Linked DNA regions of Diceros bicornis minor. The protein of the gene in region 2 interacts with the protein of the main gene of each other region in a biochemical or structural test. Links are inferred from orthologs where the notes say so. Each region holds a gene or a part of one and is shown on either strand. Other genes may lie near its edges.

Region 1 (7,284 bases), on a different chromosome or scaffold from region 2:
CACCGAAGTGGAGCCCAAACTTAACCACTACACTACCGGGCCGGCCCTGAGGTTTGAATTTTTTACTATGTCTCCTAAAAGTGTCAGAAAATGTCAGTTTCTAGTTCAGAAAAATTTCAAAAGAATACTGAAAAGAACTATATAACGTATAAAATGTTTTATTACATACTTTGTGTTTTCCAGAATACCAAGTCCACTTTAGTCAATGGATGTAAACCAGTAAGTGAACGTGTCTGCTTACAAATTGTATTAACAGTAAATGAGTTTCAACCCTCCTACTAAATATATACTGAATTATATATTTACAGAAAATATCAGCCTGAAATGGCACCAAATTCTTAGCCTACCCACAATTCTCAGCCTTGACCCTGATTGCAGCACACAGCACTAACACATAGCAGGCCTGCAATAAATAATTCGTTAAAATAATGAACCAAAAAACCGTTTTAAAGCATGTGACCGATATCTTCTTATATTAATTTCATTACCTGCATACTCATAAAACCAAGCCAGGCACTTCTTGCTTGAAAAATGTTCCTCTCCACTTATTAGTCTAGCAGGGGGTTGGGATCTGCAATAGCTTAGAAAACACACAAATGCCTAAGAATTTTATCAAGTCTCAACTTTTAGTGAAAAGCTAAGTTCAATATGAACTACTTCAATTCAAACTAAACAAAGTATTTTTTTTTACAGCTGGCATTAGAAGAAAAAAATTGGAGTTGTTAAGTATTTGCAATTTGAAACAGTACATTAAAATTTCTGGCTAACAAAACCCAAATGCTACTTTGCTCATTATCAAATTCCAAAAATATCAACTAAAATTAATTCCCCAAATTTCAAAAGACCACACAGAAGTTCAACCTAATGTTCTCAATGCAGGACTGGTACTTGGGAAAACATAAATCTTTCCAGTGATCCTTCTGCTGATTTGCATGAAAATTATATTTGTGTATAATAGGTACACATTTGAAAACAAAATCTTACAAAGTATATTTTGATACTTAATGAATCAATATTTCAAAATAAAATTATGTATTAAGAGTTGTTCATCATCAACTAAGATTAAATAGATATTTAAAGATAAAAGATGATTTACGACCTATGGGTAAAATTGAATTCCACAGATTAAAAAAAAAAAAAAACAAAAAACTCCAAAAGATAGAAACAGTACAAATAATTGGGCCAAAGCTATTTAATCCCAGAGTCTGTTTATCTTTTTCATAAAACCATTAAAAGTTAGGAATTTCATAAATGGCCATAGGATTTAATGAACTTCAGAGAACCTTCTCAAGAAGCTCAAATAGTTACACCACCATAACATAGAAATGCTATAACTTCTGCAACTGACTAATGTAATGTAACGTAACGTAAAATAAGGGTACTATATTTAAAATTTTAAGTTGATTGAGCAAAGTATCACCTGAGTTCTAATAATATTGACTGCTCAGCTATTTTAATGTGCTCAATTTAAATAATTTTGATACATTATACACTTAAGATGACTACAAGTTAGAATAATAAAAAACTAATTTGTAAGTTTCATAAAAATATGAGCTAGTGGAGTAACCATGTTAAATTCTAGTGTGAGTTACCAAGAGGGATATGAAAACAGCACCATCTTTCACAGTAACAGCCCAAGAAATATCCTTAGGCTCCTTTGCCAAACACAATAATGAAGGAAAAAAATTTAACCAATTATGAAAAGAAGATGCAGACTAAATAAGCCACCGACCTCACATTTTAAGCAGGTCTCTCTTTAAGGAGAGCTCTATTATAATCTCCTCTTTATAACGCTGGCTAGTCTTCTTTTCATAGCAGCACCTAAAGTTGTCACATCAAGTGCCAACCACTGATACAGCCAAAGACATCCAATAAGCGGATTTAAAAAACCCACTTCTCACGCCTAAATTGCAATGATTTTTTGCAGCATACAAGGTTGCTGCGATGCTCCAATGACATGCTACAATGGGATCAAAGAGCTATAACTATAGCTTTGCTTTGTTTTCTTTTTCTCCAAGAGGATACAGAGTACAATAGCTTTCAAATTATTAATATTTATATTGAGAACTAACAGCAGAATGCTAGAACACAAAACGCATACAGGGCCTTTCCAACTCTGCACAGAGGGACTTGGCGCAGGTGGAGGCGCTATCCTTCCAGAAAATGCAGCTCCTGCGATTTAAAGGCCTGCTGCTGGGATCATCCGGGTTAGACCACTCCAACTACTACCGGAGATCAATTATAGCACAGGGAGCTTTCCTTTCTACCATCCCCATGGCAGTTGTCAGGTCAAGAGTCCTCATGCTCTGCTCCTTTCTTCACACTCTACAAAGAAATTCTAGAAGTGACCATTCCGCGGATCTGTACTCACTTCTAGGTCTGGAAAGAAGGCCAGGGGGTGGGGGTGGGGGTGGGGGTGGGGTGGGATTGAGGGTGTAGCGGGTAAGGGGAAAGAGCGCAATTTACGTACGCATTCCTGTTTCCCCACCCTCCAGGGCACGGAGACTCCAATGTGAGGAGACTTCCAGTCCCTCCATAGGCGCCAGAGCGCACACACCGAACACGAGGTGGAGCCGGCGCAGGCACTCGCGGTGTCCTGCAGCCACCACCTAGCTTTCTCAGAGTGGGCTCACCTCTCCCCAGCCCGAGCCCCGGAGACCAGGCCCGCCTCCTTCTCCCCTTGCCGTCCGGCGAAGGAGGAAGGAGGAAAGATTGAAGGGTGGGGGGAGGTGGTACCTGGAGATTTTACACTTTTTCAGGCCTCCGTCTTCCGCTACTGCCGCTGCCACCCCAGAGGATTTTCTCTTCTTCTTCACTGGCATCTTCCGCCCTCCCCGGCAGGGTGGGCAGGGGAGCCGGGGAAGGGGATCGCTGTCCGCTGAAGACTCCTCAGTGCTGACACCCGGTTCCCAGAGACAGCAGCAAGTGAAGGAGCAGAGTCGCCAGCCCCCACCAGAGCGGCCCAGGCCGGCCGCCGCTCGCTCCCAGATCTCCTCCTCGTCCTCCTCGGCTCGGGGCAGCGGGTACTCCTCGCCGGTGGACACTGCAGCTTGGTCACACCGGGAAGAGAGAACGCGGACAGCGCGGCACCGCCACCACTCACAGATTCCGAGAGCAAGAGACTCAGTCCGACCTGGAAGCGAATCGCCCAGGACCGGAAGTGACGCAAGCTCAGAGCCGGTCGCCGGGAGGGGCGTGGCGCCGGTTGGCCCTGGCTCGCCGTCAGCCAGGCTGAGCGACGGTGCGTAGCTGCCAGGAGTGGAGAAATCGTGAACTGGTGGCCAGTTGACCGTCTTTGGTTGTCCAGGCTATCCCGACCTTTCTCACGAAGCTTCCATCCTGTCCTAAGGCTGGTAGTCACCCTCAAGAAATGTTTTATGAAACCACTAATACTCTGCAGTTGGCGTTACAAATAACCTGGTAAAGTAAACCAAGTTTCACTTCTGAGCTCTTCCATTCGGTAACCTCACGTTAATTGTTCCCCACCCCTTAAATGCTTGTTTTCTTTACGGGCCGGCGATCAGCCTCCCGCTCTCCCACCTCCATTTCTCCATCATCCCTGACCTCTGCTTCTCATTTCCCCTTGTTAAAACTTAGCTCTACCATTTCTGTTTCCACAGAGCTCACCTTTCAGATAAGCGTACGTGATCGCTGACTTAGTAAAGAGAATTTGGGGGACAATTCTAAGGGGCCTCCCCCCAATCCTTACTACCCAGTACACTTGCAATCACTCCAGCTCCACTTCAGTGAAAATATTGTTTATAAATAAAGGTTACTGCATGTAAAGATTATATAGTAGAAAGTCGTTTTACTCAATATATACATGTAAAATAAGTTCACATCTGTAAACCAACTGTGATGGTAGAGGACTAAAAGTCTCTTTAAACTCAATAACAGTTGATGAGGTTCTGGTGAGACTACCTCCATCTTGGCACCCTCACCTGGCCAATCAGAATATCATATTTCCCTAGTGTCATTAATTGGTTCAGAACAGACACATGACTCAAGACCTGCTAGTCAGTGCCATGATATGAAACTGAACCATCAGGAAGCAACTTTATTTCCTATGGACTGAACTTGAGAGGATGTGGAGAATGAAGCCAAAACTCAGAAGAGACCAGAATCAAGCAGAAAGACAAAAACCAAGACATGATTTTATGAAATGAGCCCTGAATCTATGTATGCCCTGGAATTTTCAGATACATGAGCAATAAATCTCACTGTTTTGGTTATGCAATTAAGTTCTCTGTTACTTACAACCAAAAGAATATTGTTCTTGAATGCTGTAATCCCACAACGCAGTTAAAAATGCATGAGGCCAAAAAATCAAATCTGAATAAGGTCAAGTCTCTAAAAAGAAATGCCATCTGTAAGTAGAGGATGGTGGAACATATTAACACTCAATGCAATCAGCAAATCTATATTGTCAGAAAATCTACAGGAAAAATGACCCAGATTCCATAACAAATTATTATAAAGAGAGTGGGAGAAAGAAATTTTAAAAGATATATCATTTTTCATATGTCTTATTTGAATCTTGATTCAAATAATTTAAACAATATCATGACATTTATGAGGCAATTGGGAATTTGAACACTAGCTGATATTGATGAAATGCTAGAACAGGCAAAACTTATTTACAGGACAGCATCAGTGATGCTTGGGGACTGGAATGGGATGAGGATGGAGGGGGAAGACTGCAAGGAAGTACAAGGGAAGTTTCTGGATAATAGACATATTCTATGTCTCGATTTAGGTGGTGGTGTATATACTTGTCAAAATTCATTGAACTGTACAATTAAAAGTGTATGCCCTTTATTGTATGAATATTATTCTTCAGTAAAGTTGATAAAAAAAAGTGTGAACCAAAAAACAAAACAAAACAAAAAGACATGACAAAACACCATTAGAAATAACCAAGCTTATTTCTTCAATAAGTGAGCTGCAAAAGCTAAACATGCCTTTCCCCAAATAGGACAAAGGAAATGGAATAAAATTCTAAAAGATAAATACTAAGACCTCAGAGGGATATCCTTCCAGAGAGCAGAATCAAGGCCTAATTAAGGGGTAAGGAAGCTTCATAATGCCTGTCTAGCAGGATACCAGCACTGCTATGGACCAGTGACTATTGCACATCTTCCATTCTTCTCTAAATAGGAATATTTATTGTGGTTATTGTGTCCATTCTCCACTGTTGTTTATTGCATGAGAGTGGGGAGCAGATAATTATCTCTTAGTTTATAGGTCACTGGACCATAAAGAACTACTTCTAGACCTAAGGAAGAAGACCCCACCACACCTGGAGATTCTGGAGATTCAGCTGAATGCAGTGATTGGACAGGAGCCTACCTGCATCTGTAGAATTCTCTGAAAAATAGATAAAAGACTGGGTTTATGTATGGTATTCATTCATCCAGTCTGTTATTCAAACAATATTTAATGATCACTTAAACCAGGAACTGTGCTGGATTTAGGGATATAAAGGCAGGCATGACTCCTGCATTCATGAAGCTTACAGTTTGGAGGGGGAAATATAAAGCAGCAGCCTATTTGTACTTAAGAGAACTTTATGAACAAAGAATAGGGTCAGTAATCTATACTCGTCAATAATATTAAGGAGAGGGTGATTTCCAGGGTCATGTAGACTGTTTTCTTCATTGCCTTCTCTGATCAGTACCTACTGCCACCACCATACCTCCATTCTCAAAATGGAGCATTCCATCATCCCAATTACTTTCACAGAAGGGGCATATTGATAGCATCACTGCCTGTGAGCAGTATAGAAATGCCTAGTTATGTAGTTTTAATCTTTGCTGCTGCTCACATGGATAGTACATTATTTTCCATCAAGAAGGCACCTATAATGGAGAAACAAACTATGACAGAGTACTGTGGTTCTTTGTCATGTAGTAGAATTTTTTAATGAAAGTAATGAGAAGGAAAGGAAGGGATGAAGAATTTACCTTAAGCAGAAACTCATGTGTTCTGGTTTCAACTCCAAAGAAGACACTCAGTGCCCTTAGGTAAGACACATAACTTCCTTTATCCTTCATCTTATCATACTGTTACATATAAGGATATAGAAAAAAATAACTAAATAATATCAATCTGTAATGACAGTGGATGTATATTTATGCGAAATAGAGCAGTAGGCAAAAAGACTTGACTGGGCCATAGCTCTGTCATCTGTTTGACATGTTGGTTATATACATACCCCTTAGCTCTTGGGGGTTATAGAATGAAGCCAGGAAAAACAGCTTTTAAAATAGCTGTATCTGTATTAAAGCAGCCAAAAATAGTGCCCTAAAATGTGCTAATTTATATATTCTGTTTATTTTATTTTAGTTCATTTTTTTCTTACCACCACCTTAAAATAGGGCATTTCCACTTGCCAGAAAAACAAGCAACACAGAAATTAAGTGATTTGTGGGATGCCACATGTTACTGTAGTCCTGGATCTATACGAATACTCTCCATACATTAACATTGATTTTCAAAACAATCTTGTAAGTCAAAATTTTGTAAAATATTTTCATACCCATAAACCCAGAGAAATAGGATGTTAAAACAGGACTTTCTGTTTTGGAGCTTCAATAAAGCCCATGAGAACTTGTGTTTTAGGGAGGCCCAACAGTGCAGAACTATGTCACACCACGTACCCCATACCTCCTAAAGCAGTGTGCTAGAGCACATCAATTGCAGCCTGTCTGTGGGCCTGGTGCACTCTGGGACCCAGCCTGAGGAAGTAGCCACTATCTGGAACATTGCCTGTCATCACGACAGACAGAAAGGAAAATACGGTGAACCCCATGCTGGCTGTTAAAGGTTCTGCCCTGAAGTGACGTGTATCACTTCTCTTTAAGTCATACACCTGAGGCTACTCCTGAGTTCATCAGGATAGGAATGTATAATCCTCTTGCAGAGAGGGGCACCAAATAAAGGTAAATACAGTCTACAACAGTATGGTATTGGAATGAGATTTTATTCAAGATCCAGGGATGAATGAGTTCACAGAGTAGTTTTAAAGGGGTAGTAGGGAAAAGCATAAGATTAGTTTCTGCGTATACCTCACTGTGGTAGATTGTATTTTCTAAAGATGGTTGAAATGATATCTCTCAACCCACATATTCTTCTAGACCCTTGCCACTCCCTGTCAAGAATGGAGTCTAATAAATAATAATAATAATAATGAATCAATATTGGTTCATTAATTGTGAGAAATGTCCCATACTAATGTAAGATGTTAATAATAGGGGAAACCGGGTGTGAGATATATGGGAACTT
Region 2 (7,958 bases):
GATCAATTATCCAGTGGGTACCCAACCAGATCCAAGAGTCGCTGAGTCTGAGAAGCTAGCTTCACCAATATTTTCTCCTGTCAATCTAAATTTAGAAAGAGAAAACTCACCACTCTCATTTCCATTGGACCCCGCAGGCAGATATCCGGGAGATTGACATGGTAAGGACTCTCACCTCCTGCCAGCTCTTGTCAGGGTCCGAGATCTCCCCACTGCAGTCATCCAGGAGCGAGCTGTGTCCAGCCAGTGAAATTTTTGCCCCACGTTGGGCGCCAAAACTGTCAGGGGAGAGGGAGAATCCCCTTCCGCCCTTTCTCTTCTGGTTCTTCTGGCTGGCCAAATAATTAACAAGACAGGTCAGCAGGAGAAAATAATACCAAGTTTAATAACATGTATACATGGGAGAAACCAGGGAAACTGAGTTTCTCAACACAATCAAGAGATTCTCGCCTTAAATACCAGCTTCAGCTAAAGACAAAGGAGGATGTTGGGGGTGGCGGGAGTCAGTTAAGGGAGATTACCAGAAAAGCACAGTAAACAAGAGTAAGGTTATTATGCAGATTTAAGGCCTCACCTTCCACATTGATAAGTTTATAGAAATGAGGTCATCCCTCCTCTTCCCAATACAGAGAGGGAGATACCTTTACAAATGGAGATTTTCCCTTATGAATGTAAATGTTTGTCTGGCAACTCCTTGCAGGGCCACCTAGAGAATATGGCCAGAGACAGAATTTTTGATAAGATGGGCTCGTTGGTGCCTTCCTATGGTAACATCTGTTTTACATTGTATTACCAGCATCAGATAGTAACTCCTTCCTGGAACAGGTCTTCTATGTTAAATTCTTTAGGCAGTTAGTGGGGGAGGTCAAATGTCTGTCAGAGAAAACAATCAAGGTAAAGAGACATATTTCAGGGTGGCCAACTCTTGATCTCCCATATCCTACTGCTTCACTTTCTTGCTCACATTTTTCTAGCTTTGGCTAGTGGGAGCTCTTTCAGTTGCCTCCTGTAACCTTTGACATACCCTCACCAATGTGGATGTTTTTATTTTTGAGCACTTCCTTACTTTCTTACACTACAAGATTCTCCCGGCTCATCTTGTGTATTTCCTGCCCCAGCCCTACAGTCAGATATTTCTCCAAAGAGGAGTCTTGCATTTTCTTTTATAAGCACAACACAGCTCTTTGGTTAGCTACTCCAAACATGAAACCTGTTCTTCAATATCTCATTTGTTTTAGTTTACTAGAAGCAAAAGGTGGAAAAATATTTAATAAATGATATAACCAGGAAATGCAAATTCCTAGTAAAGATTTAAGAAAAGATGATTCAGATTTAGTATATAGAATATAAAAATGAGACAAATTATTTGAAATCATAAATATCGCAGCAAAATCAGGGCTCTTTGGATTTTATATCTATAAAGGAAGCTTATAAAGACAGCAAGTAGTTCTGGTTGGACTCCTCAAATAATTAGTACAGGGAGATTATGAAATGAACTTGGAAATTTTTGAAAGAAAAAATTATGTATACTCACAAATAGAGAATGAATAGAAGTGGATATACTTTGTTTACCGATTTATGTAATGACATTTTAAGATTTCTACTTAAAATATTTTTCATTAATTTTCCTCTTTAAATACTAATTTATAAATTACTCTGCCTGACTAAAAATTATTTATGTTCTCATAAAGATCAAAATCAGGAAGATTTTGAAGTAGCTGGCTACAAAATAGCATATCTATAATATGACCTGATTTGTGTCAAAATATTTAATAATATTCATAGAAAATATCTTGAGGAGTATTTATCAAGCTACACATGGTTATTTATCTCTGTAATATTGGTAGTTTTTTGTTTCTTTTTTACAAAAAAGCATTTATTACTTTTGAAGTCACAAAAAATATAAAGGAATTCAATAAACTTTACACAAAGCCAAAACACATTTTTAGAAATATATGTAATTTTTTCTAAAAAGTAAAACAAAGAAAAGATTCATGGATAAACTAGAGTTTGAAGTTTGGTTTGGAGGTAAAGACCAACCATTGCTTTAAAGTGGTGGCTTGAAGTGTTGGCCAGAAAGGAAACTTTTTTTTCTTGAAGGAAGTTGCAATCTCAATTTAATGTTAGGGGCTTGGATGCTATAACTTTTTTAGAAATGTCATTTCCCTATTATATAGGTTGAATAAGTTAGGAAGAGGTGAGAAGTCTCTGAATTTAGAAATAGTGGGGTGTTATGGCCATTCATGCTTGGCACCCTTTGTGCTAGTCCACATCTCCAGCTAGAGTTCAAAAGGAAAGTGGTGAGAGCGGATGCAGTTCATGAGTTAGAGCAGGGGTTCTCAAACTTTTGGTCTGTGGACCACTTTACACTCTTAACAATTACTGAGGAACTCAAAGAACTTATGCTTGTGTGGGTTATATGTATCAATAGGTACCATATTAGAATTAAAAAGAGGATTTAAAAAGCCCTATTTATAAATTAAAAAATAATAAACCCAAACACATTTTAACATAAATTGCAAAGTTTTATGAAAAAAAAAACATATCTTCTAAAATAAAAAAAATTTAGTGAGAAGAATGGCATTGCTTTGCATTTTTGCATATCTCTAATGTCTGGCTTAATAGAAGATAGCTAGGTTCTCCGTGGTTGAAGTACATGAAGAAAATAGGAGGCCTTAGTAGGAGAATTTAATGGTCTTTTTGGATAACCGGTGTGTATTCTTCTCTGATACTACAGAAAATTTGACAAGTGGTAGTTTCTTAAAGATTAGTTGCCATGAGGAATCTGAAACCATATCAAGTCACCTGTGTACTCGGCTTTTTTTGTGTGTGTACACACACACACACCCCTATCTACCAATTGGTCTCTCTTGTATTTTGAATGGATCTTTTATCCATGTGTGATTTTATAACATCCTGCATTGGTCATTTGGAAAATACTGTTTTATTGTGTCATGTAGATCTTCCATATGTTGACATATCTCATCATACAATATCAAAAAGTCATATTCATTAATAGCACTACAGTCTCATCAGAAAAGTCTTTAAGCTATCAAGCTTATAGTGGTGAACACAAGTTACCCAAATTTTCAAATTTCACTTGAAAGCTAAATTTTATCATTGACAACAAATACTCTCAGCTGTCTTGCTTGAAGTATTAAGCTCACTTCATTCATTTTGGAGAAATATTTGTCAATTACCAAGTCAGAGTAACATTAGTTTATCTGTTGTTCTTTCAAGGAAAAATGGTGTTCCATGACAAAAGCAGCTAGGTCAGCTTGCAACTCAGCTACACAAATGTTTTTCTTCAAGACAACCATCCTACTTTGGTATGGAGCTAAAGTGTGTACTTCCCATTTCTTCACACAGAATATTAGAAAGAGGTGTACTCACGGCTGAAATTTATAAAATTAATACTTTTTACTACTTCATCAAGGATATTCCTAAATAGATATTCTAAAAAACTGGTTTGGCAGTGTGGAGTGGAGTGTGTGGCAGCAAACAATACTGTGATCCATTGACCACTGGGACAGTTTTGTGCAACCCTCTTGGTTCCCGCTAAGGCAACTTCAGGGGTGTTACTACTGCTTATCACCATAAGTGTAAATGTGATAAAAAAGATAAAAAACATGTTGTATCATTATGAAGATTGTTTTTAACCTTGGGACCCCTGGAAAGGTCTTGGAGATTTCCAGACATCTGAGGACCACACTTTGAGAATTGTTGAATTAAAAAATGGAAAACATGGGGCTGGCCTGGTGCCATTTAAGTTTCAACGCTCTGCTTAGGTGGCCAGAGAATCTCGAGTTCAAGATCCCAGGCGCAGATCATCACACTGCTCATCCAGCCATACTGTGGCGGGGTCCCATATAAAGTAGAGGAAGATGGGCACGGATGTTAGTCCAGGGCCAATCTTCCTCAAGCAAAAAAAGGAGGATTGGCAATAGATGTTAGTTCAGGGACAAGCTACCTCACACACACACACAAAAGATGGAGAACATGTGAGAAAAAAGGTCATATAATGGAAACAAACCATTGAACTGAATTTAGTATATAATAACTTTATTAAAATAAAGTGTACAGACTTCAAGTGCCATGAGAAGGAGATAAGAGATTGCTTCTTAAATCTTAAAGAGTGGTGGGATTTATCACCTTAGGAGACAGGATTTAAGTGGGCCTTGAAGGATCAGTACAAATAGTCTGAAGAAAGGGTTGGAAGGGAAAGTCTTGCTCAGAACGTACAAATGAAGAACAAGACTTTGACCACTGAGATATGAAAGACAAATAAGGAATAAAGCCAGGCTTTCGTTCTCTTGTGGTTCTGTGTAAATGAGGAGATGACTAGTAAATCTATATTTTCATCAACATGACCAAATTGTAAGGGAGGAAAACCCTTTCCAGGGATATGATAGTGCTGGTGGTGGGGAATAAGTGCTCAAGACTGTGAAGAGAAGTTCCTTTAACGAAAATACATTTATGTATCATTATTTGTCTATTGATTAAAAACCCACTAGAAAAGGAGTCTGTCAAAGGGAAAAGCAGTTTTGCTGATATATTTTTGATCATTTGAAAAGCCCATGGAAGCGTGTGGCAAGGAGGCTGTGGTGTCTCAGAATATTCACGTAGCTCTGAAACAACTCACAGGAAAATACTTTTGTTGAAAACGCCTTTCTGACACTTTTCGTCAGCGAGTAGCCGCCAAACTTGGAGGGCCCTGACTACAGCCTGGCGCTTGCCTCGTTAACAATCAGCACCGCACGCAGCCCCTTTAGAGACTGCTCCCCGAGGCCTTTCGCCATGCACTAAGCCGGGCTCCCTGCGCTTGCCGTACGCGGACCCTACCACTGCTAGCGGAGGGGGGTTTGGAAGTGGCGGAAGGGAGACCGGAGGGAGGGTGTCAGGGAAAGCCGGCCGCCCGGAGAACGGCCGTTTCACGGACCCCGTAACCAGCCCGTCCTCCCCTCCCCCTCCCCACGCCACGTCCCGTCCGGGAGCGGCGGCGGCCTTGGCTTTGCGGCGTTCGCGCGCGGTGGCAGGTGAGCGTCGGGCGCGCGGGCTCCCGGGCTGGGCTCCCCCCGCGTCTCCGGGCCGGTGGCGGCGGCCGGCGGGGAGGCGGCCTCGGCGCACAGTAATGGCAGCGCTGTGAGCAGGGGACGCGAGCTGACAGCCGCCGCCGCCGCCCACCCTCCTCGCCGGGGCTTCGTCCTTCACGCCTTCGGGCTGCCTCCCCCTCCCCTTGTCCCCTGCCCCTTGTCCCGCTTCTGCAGCAGGTAACCCCGCTGAGGGTCGGGGAGCCGGGCTGCAGGCGCCGGGAAACTTCCCTTCCCGGTTCATGGGTGGCGAGGACGGGGCGGAGGAAAGGAATTGGGGGCGAGGAGCGGGGAGGGGGAAGGATGCAGGGGGCGGCCAGCGAAGACGGTGTCCTGTGAGTGACCCCGGCTCCCTGGAGCGCTGACCCCTGAGCCCGGCCGCCCCCTGGACTGGATCCCGGGCCTCCCCAGCCCGGCCTTGGCCGCCCCTCCCTCGGCCCCATTTTCCTCCGAAGGAGGGAGGTGAGAGTGCGTGGACTCCTCTGCTTATTTACGGGCTCCCACGGATCCACAACTCTGTGTGTCTGGGTTGGGGGTGGGGAGGAGGGCATCAATTTCTTACATCCTTACCACGAGTATTTTCACTTTTGTTTCCGCCGACAGGGAAGATTGATAGCTTTGGGGAGCAGTATCCTAAGGGCATCCGTCTCAACACTTAGGATCTGTGAAATAAGAGCCTCAGACTCTCTTTAGAGCACTTAGTTACACACTGGGGAGTCTGGACCATCCCTACCACCCCACGAATGCGTGCATGTAAATAAAACATCTGTGAATTGCAGGCTGTTGTTATTGTTAAATCCTCTCTTTTCCCCCATGGATTACTATTACCAGTAAAAGGGCAGCACCTTGGAAGTTTAAATTTTGAAGATAGTAAGATATAAACTACTGACATTCGCTGTAGGCTAACTTTACAATATAAAAATCTTTGAAAGAGACCTGTGCCAGACCTACATTCATAGTAAAATATGGGAAATAATCACCTTGTTCTGATTGATTACTGACTACTTAATAGACATTTAAAAACACTTAAAAGCCTGTTCCCTTCCCTTTAAAATGTCACATTCTTTTCCAAGATAGACAAATGAGCAAAATTGGTTATACTTGGCCTGTTTTGCCCAAATACAGTGTTTGGAAGACTCTTCCAAAAGAGTCATAAATGAAATAACAGATGGACACAGCGTTTTGAGTTATCCTTTTTTTTTCAGATGCTGTTTATAAGTTGGGGGAACATTTCTACACTGTGGGTGCACATAGTGTGTGAAAAATGCCTTTTCTTTGTATTTGAATGTGTCCGTGCATCTGAAGTACTCTTGGTTCACTCTCCCCCCTCTCTGATGATTTTTGGTGTTTTATAAATGTGAAGATAGTTTATCCATGTCTTTTATCCTCACCCATCTGTCACTAAATTAAATGTTGTGGAGCTTCTTTAAAGTCAGTTTTGCCTTATCTATCAGTTAAGTATTTATCAAGCACCTGGTTCGTATGCCAAGCATTGTTGCAGGCATTTAGGGAGACAGCAGTAAACAAGACACACTGAAATTTCTTCCCCCCTGGAGCTTTGATTCTGGTGGGAGAGGGAGAGACAGACAATAAATAGGAAATAAAAATATTTTCAGAGAATCACAAGTGCTATGAAGGAAATAAAATAGAGAGTTATGGTAGTGACTGGGAGAAGACTACTTCAGATGCTGTGGTCAGGAAAGACATGTCTGAGGTGACCTTTGACCTGATATCTGCGAAGGGAGAAGGATTTAGCGTTTGGAAGTCTGAGGGAAGAGTGTTCCTGTCTGAGAGAACAGCAAATGGAAATGCCCAGAGGTGGTATCGAGCTTGGGTTCAGCGAATGGGAAGAAGTTCATTAAAGGGGCATCCTAGTGAGAGCTAAGTGGGGAGGTCCTAGCCAGGGGCCAGGTCATGTGATGTCTTACTGTCCAAAGGAGTTTGGCTTTTATTCTTAAAGTACATTGAAAAGCTATTGGAATTTTTGTAAGGCTGGGAGTGATGTGGTCTGACTTAGAATCTGACTGTTGGGAAGATTGGGTAAGAGGAGAAAAGAAAGACCAGTCACTACTCCTCTCAAAGCTGACTGAGTAGAGTAGTGACTGGAGTCAGTAAAAGAGATTTTGAGATATGTCTGGAGTTAAAGGTATTTACTGAACTTGTGGTTTGGCTGGGGGTGCAGTTGGTTGGGACAGGGGTGACTCCTGGGGTTTTGGCTTCAACTGGAGGATGGTGATGCCATGTATTGAGATGGGGAAGACGTGAGGGAAGCAGGTTGTTAGGGGGATAGAACTGGATTGGACGTGTTAAGTAGGACCTATTAGATGTTCAGGTAGAGGTGAGAAGTAGGCATTAGATATACAGGTCTGGAGTTTAGTGGAGAGATTAAGGAGTCATTCATTCATTCAACAGTTATTTTTCAAGCACCAGCTATGAACCAGGCAGTGGGGATATAGCAGTGAAAAAATAGACAAAAATCTCTGCCTTCAGGAAACTTAGATTCTAGTGAGGAGAGAAAGAGATGGAGAGTCATCAGCATTTATTTGTTGGTTTATTATAATTATATTTTGAATAAAAATTACATTCACATGATTCAAAATTTAAAGTGTGATGGGGGTATAGAATGAAAATCTCCCCTGTTTCTTGTCCCCCGTCTCCCAGTTTTCGTCTCCCAGTTTTCGTTGGAGCCAAGCAATGTTAGAGGTTTCTTACGTATCCTTCCAAAGATATGTTTTGTGCACATATAAGCAAATATGTATATATTCTCTCCACTCTGCAAAAGTGGTAGCATACTTGACCTGCTTTGACACCTTGTATTTTTTGGAGTATTAAATAGTATTTAAAAGTTATGAAACATGATGAGACCAC
Region 3 (7,953 bases), on a different chromosome or scaffold from region 2:
CACTGAGCAAACAGGCTCAGACATGGAAACCACTGTGCCCAAGGACACACGACAAGCGAGGTGCGGAAGGGGCTCTGGAACCCAGGTCTCCCCGGCAGCCCCCTCACACACCGCACTTCCCAGGGGCCCGTCTATGACTCGCAAAGGAGAAGTGGGTGCAGCCGGGCTGGCCGAGAGGAAGGCGGAAGTGACCCATGGAGGCCCATGGGCACTTCCCACTCCCTGTATTTCCACATCTCCTGCGAAGAGAGTCTTCCCCACCCCCACACACCCGCACGTGGACAGGAGGGCCCAGTCGGCAGCAGAACCACGCTGAGTCTCACGCTGGCTTCTCTGAGGACAGACCCTACGGCAGACGAAATGAAGCCTCCAGTCTTCTCTAGAGCAACAGCATGACTCCCATCGCTAACCTGGCAGTTCTACCCACAACCCCTTGCAACCAGTTACTGGGCAATAGCCAGAGACCCACGTCCTCTCCTCCCAGACAGGCAACCTTGCTCGGAGACCTGGCCTGGCCTCAGGGGGTGACCCCGTTATCCCAGCTCTGAACCCTCATCCTCACAGCCAGCTGTCCCGAAGCACACAAGAGAGGCTGAGGAGGGCACTGGTTACACCAGTGACCAAATCCGCTGCCTGCATGGGGAGGCCAGGTGGCAGACACAGAATTTGGCCCAGGGCGGTCCACACTCGTCCCCTCATCCCACCCAGCACGAGGGAACCTCGACTCAGGGATCACGCCAGCAGACCAGGCTGCTCCATTAGCCCAAAGTGCAAACATAGACATCTACCCAGCAGCACCCGCCCCGCCCTGCAGCAGGCCGGGCTGTGGTTTCTGCTCCCCACCCAGGCCTCCAGCCAAGCAAGACCTGGCAGGACCTGGCAGGGCAGTGTGGGGCTCCTGGCCAGCCGTGACAGGGGGTTCCTGCGCTGAGGGCTCACTCCCCACCTGGCGCACATTAAGACCCCCGCGTTGTCCCTCAGGCTCAAAGAGCAGAGTGCTTCCACATGAGCGGGGTCGCTCCAAGGCCATGGCTGGGCTCAGACCATTAGACCAAGAACGCTGCCCAGATCTGGGCCCGAGTCCCTTCTCACTCCAGACAGAAGTACAGCCTGCCTGGGAAGCACTTGCCCAACAACAGGGAACCCCTAGGAATTAAGACACCGCAGAGGACAGTGGAGAGGACCCAGAGTGTGAGACTCGGGCCCCAAGGAGCCACCTGCTCTGTGGAACCCAGGAAAGGCCCGTTAGGGCGAGAGGAGCGCAGCTTCAGCAGCCAGGACCGGGGTGCTGGCAGGAGCTGGGGCCTGGGGGCGCACTCTGCGCTGGCTGCAGGCACAGGGCGGAGGATGGAGGGGCGGCCTCCACCCCCCCAAAAGAGACACGTTACATAGCCCAGTGATCAAGCAGAGGGCCTGGGCCCTGCTTTCAGCCGGGGGGCCGCTCTCCAAGCGCGTCCTGCTGCCACTTTGTGGGAGCTCGAGCAAGTGGCCAGGCAGTCACCCCACACTGGCCTCGCTCCCTCCCTCCTTCCTCCCCAAAGCTGCGGCCCCCACAGTGCTCCCGCCTCTGGGGAGCTCCCTTTGTCCTCCAGGCAGGCCAGGGGGGCAGTTGGCGGCCGGGTGGGCCACGGCTCCCTTTCCCTCCCTGCAAGGCTAGCCAGGTCGGAGAGACGGGGCACCGGGCCCAGCCTCCCAGCGAGAAGGGAAGCAAAACCCCGCATCCAACAAACAGGGGGCTCCGGCCTCCTCTCTGGGGGCCTGAAGCGGCCTTCAAGGGAACCCGGTTCTCGGGGACTCCTGGGGCCGGACGTCAGGGGACACCAAGGGGTCCCCCAGCCTGACTGAGGTGGGGAGGGCCCTGCCGGGGGAGGAGGGAATCTGGCAGAGAAAGGAGGAAGGTCCAGCTGAGGAAGGAGGAGGTCCAGCCAAAAGAGGGAGGGAGAACGCGATGCAGCTGAGGAAAGGGGAGTCTGGCTGAGGTAGGGGGGTCTGGCCAAGGGAGGAGGGAATCTGGGGCCGGTGAAAGAGGGATGGGACCGAGGGACAGTCACCTCAAGAGAAAAAGGACAGTTCGGTCCCGAGAAAAGGGAGGGGTCGCCCCGACAGGAGGGAAGAGGGGGTCCAGGGCAGAGGAAGGGAGGAGGATCTGGGGCTGAGGGAGGAGAAAGAGGGGCTGGGGCCGGGGGAGGAGGAGGATCCAGGGTCGGGGCAGGAGGGTTGGGGGCAGGGACAGGAGCGACCAAGGCAGGAGAGGAGGGGGGCGGGGGCAGGGGCAGGAGGGACAGGAGCAGGAGGGAGCCCGGGGGTGGAGGAACGGAGGTAGGAGAGGGGGACCGGGACCGGGGGAGGAGGAGGATCCGGGGTCGGGGGAGGAGGGTCCGGGGCAGGGGGAGGAGGAACGGGGGCAGGAGAGGGGGACAGGGGAAGGGGGAGGAGGAAGAGGGTCCGGGGCCGGGGAAGGAGGGTCCGGGACCCGGGCAGGAGGAGGAGGATCCGGGGTCGGGGCAGGGGGGTCGGGGGCAGGGGGAGGAGGACAAGGGTCCGGAGCCAGGGGAGGAGGAGGATTTTGGGTCGGGGGAGGAGGATCCAGGGCAGAAGAGGAAGGGGGCCGGGCGAGGAGGCGCAGGGGCAGGAGGAGGACCAGGAGACGGGGGCCGGGGCAGGGGAACGAGAAAGAGGGGCCGGGGCCGGGGCAGGAGGAGGAGGATCCGGGGCCGGGGGAGGAGGGTCGGGCGAAGGGAGAGAAGGGTCCGGGGCCTGGGTAGGAGGGGGGCCGAGTCCGGCGGCCGCGCACCTTGAAGTAGCCGCCCTCGTAGTAGGTGTTGGGCGGCCCGAAGATGGCCACTTCCCAGTTGTACAGGTCGCCCTCGTCCACCAGCGTCACGCGGAAGCCCTCCACCGGCTCCTCCTGCAGCCCCTTCAGCTCCAGCAGCAGCGCCTTCTGCGAGCTGGGCACCAGCGGCCGGGCCATGGCGGCGGACGGGCCCGGGGCCGCGTCGGGGGCGCGGGACGGGCCGGGGCCGGGGCCGCCTTCCTCCTCCTCTCCGCCGCCGCCGCCCGGGGCCCCGGAGCGCTCCACCCGCTCTGGCGCCGCCGCCGCCCGGCGCTCCCTTGGCCCGCGCCCCGCCCCGCTGCGCCTGCGCGACCCCGCGCCCGCCCGCGCCTGCGCGTCCCCGCCGCCGGGTCCCGACCACGCCTGCGCGCCGCCAACCCAGGCCCCGACCGCGCCTGCGTGCCCACTCGCGGGGCACGCCGGGAAGTGGAGTCCCGCCCCGCGCACGCGAGAGCGGCCGCAGGAGCAGGGGCCGAGTGCGCAGGCGCCTTGCGCTTCCGACCCCCGGAGGCCGCTGCTGCCCGGGCGGACGACTACGGACCTGTGCGCGGGGAGGCGGCGGAGCTGGGCTGAGACCCCCGGCCCGCCCGGCCTTGGGGGCCTTTTTTGTGACGTCCCCACGCGGGGCGGGGCAGGCCGGGGCCGGCCGGGGCGGGGCGGAGGGAAGGGCCGGGGCGGCCGGACCCCGCTGCCCGAGCCTCAGTTTCCCCGTGGGTCCCCGCCGGCCGCTCTGGGCGGGCAGACAGGAAGCCGGGCCGCTGCGGGGAGGCCCGGCCCGCAGACGGCGTCCTGCACGGGCGGTACCTCGGTTTCCCCTCGGAGGGGCGGAGCTCGGCGGGACCCGAGGGTCAGCGGGGAAACCCCAAAGTTACCCCTCGACTTGATTCACCTCGACGAACTGGAATCCCAGGAGATTGACGCTGCTTCCCCGAGAAACTGGAAATTAGTCCTCCTCCCCGTTCGGCGTCCGTTCAGCCCCCATCCCGGCCGAACGCCCAGGCTGAGCCTGACCCGGGCTGCGCCCTGATCTCAGGCTGACCTTTGACCCCAGCTAGCCCTGACCCTGGGCTTCACCGGATCCGCCTGAGCTCTGACCTGGCTGAGGGTGGTCCCAGACACCCCCCCCACCGCGCTAGTACTTTAGGTCAGGAGGGTGGGCGTGGCCACCTGGCCTCCATCCCTCCCATCTGCAGGTGACGGCTCCCCAGGAGGGTGGGCGTGGCCCTGGTGCTGGCAGGTGTCCCGGGCAGCCAACAGCTGCAACACCTGGGCTGGGCTGAGCTGACTCCCTCCCCCAGGTGCCCCAACGCCTGGCCCCTGGCCTCGTCTAGCTGGGGACAGCCAGGCGACCCCGTGTGGGGGAAGGAAAACAATGTCAGCGGTGGGAGGGACGGAGGAGTCTGAGCCAGCCCTGGGCAGAGCAGCAGCTTCCAATGGCTGCCCAGGGCCGGGACCCTGGCTTTCTGATCCATAAAGGGGAGCTGGGCCTCATCTCTTGGCCCTCTGCCCTGCACCCCAGGGACCTGAAGTGGTCCGTCCTCTGTAAGGTGGGCTGTGTGCCCTTTGCCAGATGTTCAGGTGTCTCTGACCCTCATCTCACCCATGGCGCCAGTGTCACAGCGTTGGCATGTGGCAGCTCGTCGATGAATAATAATGATTAATCATGACTCTTCCAGAGAGGTTTCCTGAGATCTTTCCTACAGCACCCCACATCCCAGGGGGGTTGTTGCGTGGGTGGGGTGGAACTGGAGATGTAAACCGGGTTTATGGCCTCTCCAGCTGGTCCCACGTGGGGCCTCGTCCTCCAGGAAAGCCTGCTCCTCAGGCTCGGAAATGTCCCCGGGGTGGTGGACATCTGGGGTCTCTGCCTACCTGTTTTCTGGCCACAGCACCTCGGTTTTCCCTTGGGGGGGGATCCTCACTCTTAGTCTGTAGGGTTGGAATTGGACTGACCCCCAAGCCTGGCTGCAGGGATGGGTCATCCAATCAGAGTTCCCCAGGCCCCCTGGCTGCAGCGGTTGGTTCAGTAACAGCATGACTCAGCCATCCCTGGGACTTTTTCTGGGAACACCGAGCTGGGGTGGCTGAGCTGGTTGGACCTGGGCCTGGAGTTATGGGGCCATCTCATCACCACAAGGCCTGTGAACAAAGTTGACACTCAGGAAAGCTGACTCGACTGACCAGAAAGGCTGATAACCCTGTTTGTGCTCCTGGATCCAGCCATGCCTGACCTCCACTGAATGTGCCAATGATGCAAGCTGATAAATTCTTTTCTTATGAAGCCAGTTTGAGTTGGGCCTTCCACCATGTGCCACAGAAGAGGCCTGCATTCAAATCTGAGTTCGGCTGTGACCTTGAAAACGGTCCTCAAATGCTAAAGCAAGTCTCAGTTTATCTGTAAAATGGGTTTCATGAAATAATATTTGAAAAGCTCTCGGCATAGATACTGAGAATGTTATAGAGACAGAGACGATAGTGTTTTTACTGCAATTATGCCTGTTGGGAAGAAACACATGATCTCACGAGGCGGAGGGGCTGCGGGGGTGAAGTAAAAAGGGATGCACAGGAGAGAATGTGGCCCCTTGAGGGGAGAGGGACGTGGAGTCGAAGACAAAGGCTACGGGGCCGGTGTGCTTTGGATGCTACAGAACCGGCTCCAAAGCCAGCTCTGCCTCTCCCTGGCTGTGCCATCTGTTACTTATTGTGGTGGAGAATAAGGGCCCCCCCAGACGCCACGTCCTAATCCTGGAGCCTGTGGGTACGCTGCCTCACGTGGCTAAAGGAACTTTGCAGATGAGATTAAGAACCTCGAGATGGGGAGAGTACCCTGGTTATCCAAGTGGACCTGTGTAATGCCACGGGAGGCGGGAGGGTCAGAGGCGGAGCAGGCGATGGGACGACGGGGCAGAGATGCACTTCGGAGATGGAGGAAGGGACCTTGAGCCCAGGATGTGGCGCCTCCAGAAGCTGGAAAAGGCAACAAACAGATTCTCTCCTGGAACGTCCAGAGGGAACCAGCCCTACCCACACCTGGATTTTAGGACTCTGCCCCCAGAACTGTGATAGTAAACTCGTGTTCTTTAAGTCACTAACTTTGTGGTAACTTTTGACAACACCCATAGGAATTGAATACACTTATCTCTATGGGCTTCAGATTCCTCCTCTGGAAAATTGATTCAGTCATTAAGTCATTCACTCACTCATGGCCTTCCAAGCACAAATCTAGGCACTGAGGACACAGCAGTGAACAAAAGGAGCAGAAATCCCTGTCCTCGGGGAGGCTGTAAACAAGCTGATGAATAAACAGCAATTTCTGATAGCAATAATTACTATGAAGAAAAATACAGCATGGTAGGTGTTAGCAACGGGGGTGGCACAGGAGGGTTATTTTGAGTGGGTGGTCAGGAGGTGGCATCTGAGCAGAAACTAGAATGCAGTGAGGAAGTGAGCCACGTGGGTCTGGAGGAACAGTGTCACAGGGAGAGGGAACAGCACGTGCAAAGGCCCTGAGGCAGGGCCAAGCCGGACCAGCTAGAGACCAGCGTGCCTGGGGCAGAGTGAGGGGACAGAGGCCAGAAAAGTAGCTGGGAAGTCTCTTGGCTCAGCTTTCCTGAGTGTTGGCTTTGTTTGCAGGCCTCGTGGTGACAAGATGGCTCCAGAATCCGGGCCCGGGTCCTCCCAGCTCAGCCACCCCAGAAAAAAATCCCAGGGCTGCGTCTCATTGGCCAGCCGGGAGTCACATGCTGTTCCTGAACCAATCACTGGGGCCAGGGTGCCGGGAGCACTCCTATTGGCTGGTGGGGTCGCCCAGGTGGATGAGGATGCAGGCTGGACCAGTTCAGAGGAGGAGCAGGCAGGATGGAGTTGAGGCGCAACCGACAGGATGCAGAGCACCGCCAGCTGAGGGTCGGGGGGCATTCAGCCCAGCCCCCCCATCTCCACCTCGGTGTCTGGGCGGACTGGGGGCTTCCTCAGAGACCAGACACCCAGAGGAGCCCCGGGATCAGGGAGGCTGACCAGAGGCTCTGTCCCCGACGTGGCAGGCCTGGGATGCACTTGAGATGTGCCCGAGGAGACGCCCAGCAGGCGATTGGCTCTCGCAGGCTGGAGCAGAGTGGGGCCGGGCCTGAGAGATGAATGTGAGACGCCTTGGCGCCCCCGGGGCCGTAACTGAAGCCGAGGGCCTGGAGAGAGGCCAGGGGATGAGGATGCACGAGGTGAGGACAGGAGAGGCCCCAGACGGAGCCAGGGGACGCCCTCCCTGGGGAGCTGGGAAGAGGAGGAGCCTTCGGGGGCAGCAGAGGGACCACCGCGAGATGGGGCCGGTGGGGGACGGGGAAGTGGGTGTTCCCAGAAGCGGGAGGTTCCATGGTCCACGCTGCTGCGAGGCCAGGCGAGGAGGAGGGGGCGGCTTCCCGGGGCTGCGCCGGCAGAGGTCACGTGGGGATCATGACAACAGGGGGCTTCCGGACCCGCGACCGGGCGTGGCGGTGACTCGGCGACGGTGAGGGGAGCTGGACAAGGCAGGGAGGTGGTCCCGGCTGGGGTCCCCTCAGCCTGATGGGGGGCTGGAGCGTGAGCTGCCCCCCGACAGCTCCACCTGAGGCGACGGGGCCGGCTCTGGTGCCCCCGGTGTCACTCACCGGGGACGTCTGCCCCGGAAGGAGGCATGGACCCTCCTGGGCTGTGTGGCTCCTCCTCCCTCGAGGGGCAGCCGCGACCTGCGATGAGGATGTGGTGGCACCAGCAACACCCACTGCACAGTGCCCTGCCTGGTTCTGATGACCGGGAGGCAGGGGTCGCCCGGGGACCACAGAGCTGACCAGAGGGTGCCCGGGCCGTGAGTCCTGTCCTGGCCTCGGGGACAGTTCGGGACTAACGCAGAAGGTCCACCCGGCCTCACCCACATCTGTCCCCTGCTGCTTCCTGGATGTGCGGTCCCCGGCCCGAGGCCACAGATGCTGATGCTTCGGGCGCGTTCCCGCGCGTGGGCTGGTGACATACTCTAGTACTAACCGCGAACACTTACTGAAGGGCAGCTTTGTTAATTTTCCGGCTACCACTGCTGCGTAACAGACGAGCCCAGAACTCGGGCTTTTATCATAAATCAATAAATCAAT

What was found.
Region 1: of the proteins of CUL2 (region 2) and DCUN1D5, one has a biochemical effect on the other in vitro, tested with the Homo sapiens proteins (2 studies listed by BioGRID, with this or other methods). The link is inferred for Diceros bicornis minor from reciprocal best matches to the Homo sapiens genes CUL2 and DCUN1D5.
Region 3: the proteins of CUL2 (region 2) and CDC34 form a complex in vitro, tested with the Homo sapiens proteins (2 studies listed by BioGRID). The link is inferred for Diceros bicornis minor from reciprocal best matches to the Homo sapiens genes CUL2 and CDC34.

The regions. Positions count from the first base shown.
Region 1 is NC_080746.1:31,997,077-32,004,360, reverse strand, and holds the start of DCUN1D5 (DCN1-like protein 5), read right to left. Parts: upstream 3,077-7,284; 5' UTR 2,823-3,076; coding exon 2,737-2,822; intron 581-2,736; coding exon 489-580; intron 1-488. UniProt on the Homo sapiens protein: Contributes to the neddylation of all cullins by transferring NEDD8 from N-terminally acetylated NEDD8-conjugating E2s enzyme to different cullin C-terminal domain-RBX complexes which is necessary for the activation of cullin-RING E3 ubiquitin ligases (CRLs).
Region 2 is NC_080775.1:32,877,410-32,885,367, reverse strand, and holds the start of CUL2 (cullin-2), read left to right. Parts: upstream 1-4,924; 5' UTR 4,925-5,036; intron 5,037-5,140; exon of another isoform or gene 5,141-5,270; intron 5,271-5,425; exon of another isoform or gene 5,426-5,552; intron 5,553-7,958.
Region 3 is NW_026691553.1:212,591-220,543, reverse strand, and holds the start of CDC34 (ubiquitin-conjugating enzyme E2 R1), read right to left. Parts: upstream 3,077-7,953; 5' UTR 2,972-3,076; coding exon 2,795-2,971; intron 1-2,794. UniProt on the Homo sapiens protein: E2 ubiquitin-conjugating enzyme that accepts ubiquitin from an E1 ubiquitin-activating protein, and catalyzes its covalent attachment to other proteins by an E3 ubiquitin-protein ligase complex. In vitro catalyzes 'Lys-48'-linked polyubiquitination.